Linked DNA regions of Caenorhabditis elegans. The protein of the gene in region 1 purifies or fractionates together with the protein of each later gene. This does not show direct contact. Each region holds a gene or a part of one and is shown in the gene's direction. Other genes may lie near its edges.

Region 1 (3,755 bases):
TCCGGGTTAGAAATGAGACGGTTTGTATCAGGTAACTTTTTTGTTTTCAAAAATTCTTGAAACGTGCGTTTGTGCAATTAAGTGCAATTAAGCCGAGATCAGAATTGGGAACCATGTTTCCAACTTGCAGGGCTCTGAACTTCAGGTTCTGGAAACTATCATGACCACTACCAGGACTAATTGCGTTCTATCTTTATCCAAGACTAAAGAATAGTTCGTCATGAAGACTACTATTTGTCAGTACAAGCTTATTAATATACACTGAAGAATTTTTCTAAAAACGACTTCTGTACTTGCTGAACTTTGCATATTTGATTTTCGATGTTGTGATCTCATTGTTTACTCATTTTTCGAATCCGACTAATTCTTCATCCAAATTTTAATTAAACATATCACACGTTAAGACCCGAGGGGATGATTGCAATCATAACGAGTATAAAATGCTATTTTGATAACCAGAATTCTTCATTTCGACATATTTTGATAGATCACACGTTTTTCTTCTTCTTCTTCTTCTCCCTTTTCGGATTTCCATGAGCGACCTGACATCTAGTTATGCTAATAATGTGCGCCTTTAAAGTGTTATTAGGGCATCTTCAAGACTTGTAGGCAAGCAGGTAGGCATTTTTATGCCTCGTAGTAAGCTGAATGTTCCTTACAACTATATCGTGACACTTCTTGTATTCTTCTTTAATTTCTCAATTCAAATCTTATTTTCCACATGCCACGCCGAATCGGCGCCAACTCGATTGCTCCAGAAGCCCCGAATACTGCACAACCAACTGTCAATCCGTATAGACGAATTGTTCTTCCCATGAAGGTCATAGTCGGTCTCACCATCATGACAGCCGCCTGTATCTCGTTCTCTGGATTCGTCATCTACGTGGTGATGACCAAACCGCACAATCCGAACATGACCGTGACAGAGTATGGGCCGTTATAAATGTAGTTTCCGTTGGTCGATTTTTTGGAGAACGTTCAATTTTGGAAGAAGCAGTTTTCTTTTTTGTCATCTGTTTTTTTTTTTGCAAAATTGAATAAAACTGTTTAAAAACATTCTCAGCGTATTTTAGCTTTAATAATAAAGTATAAATAGTTTGGTTGCTTTTTTTCTTCAATTTTCAAAACATATGAGCTGGTTTTTTGGCTGCAAGTTGAGCTGCCGTATGACCACAGCCGTCTGTCGATTTACGCAGCTCGTGTACTTCTCGAGAAAAATATGAGTTTTAAAACAGTTTTGTCTTGACTGATTGGTTTTGAATCAACTCAAAAACTTAGCAATTAAATCGTTAATTTAACTCTAATTTTTATATGACATTTAAGATGAAACCTATATGCTTTTAGCGTTAAAAAAAAGCTGAAAACTAGTTTTTAGAAGCTTTCATCATGCTTGAAGTTTCAAAAATTAACGATATTTAATTTGTCAATTTGAAATCTTCCAAAAACCAAGCATTTCAGCGGATCATTCGAAACTGTAAAATACTTCCCTCGGGGAGTACACTGGCTGAGCAAATTCCACATTTCAGAATAAAAAATGAGTTATTATTCAAAAAAGTAAACTTCACCATCTCAATTCAATTGAAATCGAAAAATAGATATTTAGTATCATTTCTCATACTCAGAAAAAAAATTGATGAAAAATTCCGATTTGAAATACCGCCAACAAAATTGTGCGTTATTTCGGAGCGTCGTTGCACAAAATTAATTTATTTTATTTTCACAAATTTTCACTTAAAATGCTTCAAAATAGACTATTTCTTCGACATTTTATTGCAAATTTTGCCACATCATCAGCATTCGAGCCACGAGAATTTGAGGTAAACGAAAAAATAATATAAAATCACTTAAAATTGAGATTTTCGCGTATTTTTCAGAACAACGAGAAAACCGCCATCACTGCAGTGAATGCGCTCACCAATGCTCGATCAATTGTGCAAATCACATCAAAGGAGAAAGTTGGGAAACGATTTCGGTGAGAGTTTTAGTAGTAATTCCAAAACATTTAAAGAGGTTTTTCAGACGTGAATTCAATTTGCCACAAAAAGCCATTGATGGGCTCAGAAATGCAATTATTACTTGTGAAAGACCGGCAAAACAACTACAAAATGAAGCAGATCAGCTGGCAAAGAAACTCGAACAACGAAGGTTTCCAGAATCTCCGGAAAAACTGAAAAAGCTCAGAGATGAAGTGAAAAGGAAGTTGAAATCGGGAAAAAAGGATGAAATATCAGATTTCGATAAGGAATCGTTCGGTGGAAAAGTGCAAGAAGCTCAACAATACGAAATACGGAATGAAGTGGATCGGATAATGAAAAAAGAAAATTTCAATTGGAAACCTCTAGAAATCACGACAAAAGAATCTGCTGCTGCCTATTCTCTGGCAAGATTAGCCCCAAACTATGCAGAAATCACCAGAACACTTGAAGAATTCAATACTATCCCCGATTTTCAACCAGAAACTGTTCTGGATTTCGGAAGTGGAGCTGGCGCTGGATTCTGGGCGATTCAGAACAAATGGCCAGATGTGAAGGAAATCACAATGGTGGATTTATCGGATGCTATGATGAAATTTTCGATGGATTCTTTGAGGGTTGGTATTCTTTTAGAAGATTTATTTTTAGATAATGACGTTTTTTTTTTCCAGAACGAACAGTCCAGTGAAGCTTCTCAAAACGGGCGGCCTTTTGTGCACAACAATGTCAATTTCAGGCGACATTTGATTCCTTCATTAAATGTATGCACATCAATATAATTTTAAATTAATTCAGAAAATGCAAAAGTGCAAAAAACGTAGAAAATTTTCGGACTACCGAATTGGCGAATTTTACAAATTTTGCAAATTTTGTGATAATTACTTTCAATTAATTAGAAAATCGCTTTGATTAAAGCAGAAATTTTATTTTTTTTTTCAATTAAAAATACACTCTTTTAATAATCTTCAAATTTAGTTTTTTTTTTGAAAAACGTTTCTTTTTCAAAATCTACCCCTAGTTGAGCAATGACGGATGAAAGCTTTTGTTTTGGAAAAAGCAAAATTTTTCAGAATTTTTCGCTTCTCGTTGCCCTCTTTCGTTCACTTTTTTTCCAAAAAAAGCAAATTAAAAAAAAAATGTTTTCCTAAACTACGAGAAACGAAAAATCGACATCCCAGTCTGCAAAAACGAAAAAAATTATTTTTTTCGCAATTTTAACAGTTTATTTCTTGTCAAATCATATTTCTTAACTTGAATTTCCAGACCACCTACGATGTTGTGCTAGCTCACCGCGTGCTCTGTGAAATTGGCTCTTCAGAAACTCGTCTCCAGTTGATCGAATCACTATGGAAACGAACAAATCGCTTCTTAATCCTGATCGAATCCAGTCAAACCGGAGCTTTCGGTGGTCTTCTCGAGGCTCGTGATTTTCTATTGACACAGGGAACTCTGGTGGATTATCGGAAATTGCTGAAATCACTAGAAGAAGCTGTGATGCTATCACCGAAAGTTGTTCGCATCGTTGAGGATTACAATTTGAGTGATTATGAGAAATATGCACTTTTGATGGAAGCAGTGCCACCTGGACATACAGTACCAACTATGCTTCCGACAGCTACAGTATTGGCTCCATGTCCTCATGATTTGGGTTGTCCTCTAGGAGTACACAGTTCTTGTACATTTAATACAAGATTTCAGCCTATTAGAGCCGATGGACGCAGATCAGAAAAGTGATTATTGATTTTTAAATTGAAAAAAATCAAGTTTTGTATATTTTGATGG
Region 2 (3,755 bases), 3.8 Mb from region 1:
GCGACGCGACCGCAACGCGCGGGCTCAATTTTGCAGAGATGCCATTTGGTTCTTTACATAAACATGAAAATTTGATAGCACTAAAGGATCCAAAAATTTTAGTTCTAAAGGCCCACTGTGAGTCAAATTACGACCTTTCAGAGTTATCCAGCTAGCCGCGACGCTACCGCAACGCGCGTTCGAAACTTTAAAAGGGTATAACTTGGCTCCCTCTTGACCGGAAACGTTGAAACATTTGTGGTCCACTGCAATCATTTTGTTCTACAATTATCATTATTTAAAAGTTCGAAATATGAATTTTGCAGAACTTGACAAAAATTGAAATTTATTTATTTCCAATTCATATATTAAGTTTCGATTACCAATTATGTTTTCTCACTGCTCCACAATTTTCAGCACTGTAGACCCGTTTTGAGCCAAGTTACGGGCTTCCAAAGTTCTCTCGCCAGCCGCGACGCGACCGCTACGCGCGGCCTCAACTTTGAAGCTGCGTAACTTGGCTTGCAATAATCGTAAAGATTTGAAATTTTTGGAGTTTACGTATACCATCTTGATCTCTTAGTAAAAATACATTTTTTAACTCTCCAACTGCTCCAAAGCTCCAGGCTCAAAACTGTTTTTTCAGTAATTATTTTCAACGAAAATACAAATAGTAGTAGTAGTAACAATTAATTATCCAGATTCTAAACTCTATGATAACTGACAGCCAAGTTATTCGGCTTTAAAATTTTCACGCCGCGTTGCGGTCGCGTCGCGGTCCACCCACAAACTTTGAAACGCTATAACTTGGCTCCCAAAGGTCCTAGAGCTCTGAATTTTTTTGCAGGCTGTTTGGAATCTTATACTTCTGTTAGACATGTTTTTTTTGTAGTTCCGCATCACCAACCCACTAAGATCAAAAGTGAAATGATAGCGGAACACCGGTAATGACTCACTTTCATGTACTTTTCCACGCCTTTCCTCTTTCTGCGAAAAAGGTTAATAGCCCCTTTCCTCTCCCTTTCCTCACTGATTACTTTTCATTCGTATTTATTCTCAACTTGACCTCCACTTCCTTTTTCAGATGATTCTTTTTCTGCTGGTACTATTCCACGTGGCACTGGCGGCTCGCGATTCCCCAGAAGCCTCCACTCACCTGAAAACTCTACTTGGTGACAGTACTCCTATGATAAATACAACACAGGATTCGGTTCTGGATCTTTCGAATCACTGGATTGAGCAAGCGGTCTCTGCGTTGATGGCTACGGTAGCTAATGAAAAGTGAGTTGGTTTTTATGGAAGCACGTAGCAAAAATTTGGGAGCTCCAGGCCCAGTAGGAGTCAAGTTATGAGCACTTGAAGTTTGGGTCTGAGCCGCGACGCGACCGCAGCGCACGGGCCAAATTTTATTTTTGTTTTCAAATATTATACATTTTGTAATAGTCAAAAGATTCACTGGTACGTGAAGATACAGTGGCAAAAATTTCAGAACCCTGGGAGCAAAATAAGCCAAGTTATTGGGTTTAAAAGTTTAGGTATGAGCCGCGACGCGACCGCAACGCACCACTCAAACTTTGAAGCTGCATAACTTGGCTCCCAGGTGTCTTACAGCTTCGAAATTTTTTTGTGTAGTTTAGTGACATTGAGGTTTCCTTAAAAAAATCAGTTTTTAAATTAAATTTTTGACTGTTTTTCAGTTTCCGGAGTGGTAAATTTGTTGATGATTATATTCCTAAACTTTATTCAATTCTGAATAACCATATATTTTTTTAAGCTGCTTCAAAAAGTTTGAGAGCTCTAGGTCCACTTTGAGCATAGTTATGAAGCTTCAAAGTTTGGATCTGGACCGCGACGCGACCGCAACGCACTCCTCAAACTTGGAAGTTGCATAACTTGACTCATAGTAAACCTAAAGGTTTGAAATTTTTATAGTAGCTTCACAAAATATTACGTGTCGTGATAAAATAGTTAATGTTTCCCTTGACCGCGACGCAACCGCACCGCAGCTCCAAAACTTTGAAGCGTGAAAACTTGGCCCTCAGTGCTCCTAGAGCCTCAAACTTTTTTGGAAGAGACTTAAAATTTAGTATTTTATCTAAAATTAATTTTTAAAAACCTATTATACATTTTGTTTCCAGAATCTCCTCAGTAACCCAAGTAGAAACGCGTATTCACGAGAAATGTGTGCAAGCAGATCACAAAATCAATTAGGACGCTAAAAAACAAGAAGGAGGAGAGGGGGTGAGTTGCAGGAAGTTTCCAGAATTCCAGAATTTTTTTTGAATGCATAGAACTTAGGGACATAAAGATCCTGAAAAAATTTCAGACCTCTAGCACACCTAGGAGCCGAGTTATGACTCCTCAAAGTCTGGGGTGGAACCGCGACGCGACCGCGTAGCACGGTATTAACTTTGAAGTGGTGTAACTTGGCTCCCAGTGATGCTACAGCTCTGAAATTTTTACAGCAACTTTAAATTGTGAATCTCTGTAAGCCTGTATGTTAGTTGTTGAAAACCGCGACGCGACCGCTTCGCACCCCATAACACAAAATTCACATTTTCTGCTTTTCAGTTGGCGTCAAATTATGGTTGACGTGAAGAAAACAGGAGACGTTATTGAAAAGCGGAAGAAAGTCAAGGAGATGCTCGGAAAAAGTGTGCGATCAAGATCCGTAAAGCCGAAGGAGCTCCGGATGAGCTCAAGGAAACCATTAGCGGTGGGTGACTACAAATTATTTACAGAAACTGAGCTCAACTGAACTTGTATGCTGAAAAAAGTTTCAGAGCTCTAAGACCACTGTGAGCCAAGTTATAGAGCTTTAAAGTTTAGAACGTGCGACGCGGTCGCGTCGCGGTTCACTTTCTAACTTTGCGGCTTTGTAACTGGGCTCCCAGTGGCCCTAATGCTCTGAAATTTTTGGAGGATATTTGTGCGTAGTAGATTTTTCAGGCGAATTTTGTAAATGCGACTATATGATAAAACTTTGAGATTTTCGATAAAACTCAATTTTTTTCAAATTTTTGGAATCTTTGTCACCAGCAAGCTCTCTACATCTTCCTTGAACCGTGCAAAAATTTTCCGGATTTCTTTGTTTTTTGTACCCAAGTTATTAAGCTTCAAAGTTTGACCCACGCGTCGCGGCTGCGTCGCGGCTTGCCACCAAACTTTGAGGACCTGTAACTTGGCTCGCAGCTTATATATTGATCTGAAAATTTTGCACAAAACTCATCCAAGCCCAGGCTCTCTATTTCACAATTTTCCAGGAAAAAAAAACAAAACTGTATAATTTCCAGAGCTCCGACTACGAAGCCTTCGATGACCCAATTGAAGTGACCAATGAAATTGTTGAAGCGCCAAAGCTCAGCGCGGAAGAGCTTTTTCAAAAGATTCAAGAGCATCCAGAAGAGCTCCTTAAAGATGACCCACCGGAGCTCCTAAATATGACTGGAAAAGAGACTGAAGCAGTTCTCAGGATTAAGCTTATCAGGGAGGGTGAGTATTAAATTAGAAATAATTTTAATAGTTCTGAAATTTCCAGCGGTAAAGCTAGGTTTAAGCCTCGGAGGGCAGAATGTCAACGGGTTCGATCAGAAAAGTTTGAGATTTGCGTCTCCTCGATTCTTTGCAATTGCTCCAGAAGAGCACAAGATGGATAATGATACGGTTTGTTTAATAAAAAATTGAAAATGTTATTAGAAATTTTGCCTAAAATATTTGAAGTCTCTAGGGCACATTGGACCAAGTTATGACACTTTAAAATTTGTGGAAGAACCGCG

The links.
Region 2: the proteins of metl-17 (region 1) and mltn-2 fractionate together in Caenorhabditis elegans (co-fractionation; one large-scale study listed by BioGRID). This does not show direct contact.

What each region holds. Positions count from the first base shown.
Region 1 is NC_003279.8:14,838,196-14,841,950, forward strand, and holds the start of metl-17 (Methyltransferase-like protein 17, mitochondrial), read left to right. Parts: upstream 1-1,736; coding exon 1,737-1,817; intron 1,818-1,874; coding exon 1,875-1,972; intron 1,973-2,019; coding exon 2,020-2,590; intron 2,591-2,644; coding exon 2,645-2,734; intron 2,735-3,236; coding exon 3,237-3,703; intron 3,704-3,755. Other genes in the region: F32A7.8 (uncharacterized protein), read left to right, coding at 722-943.
Region 2 is NC_003279.8:11,022,962-11,026,716, reverse strand, and holds the start of mltn-2 (MLt-TeN (mlt-10) related), read left to right. Parts: upstream 1-2,123; 5' UTR 2,124-2,220; intron 2,221-2,550; 5' UTR 2,551-2,563; coding exon 2,564-2,695; intron 2,696-3,272; coding exon 3,273-3,471; intron 3,472-3,517; coding exon 3,518-3,642; intron 3,643-3,755.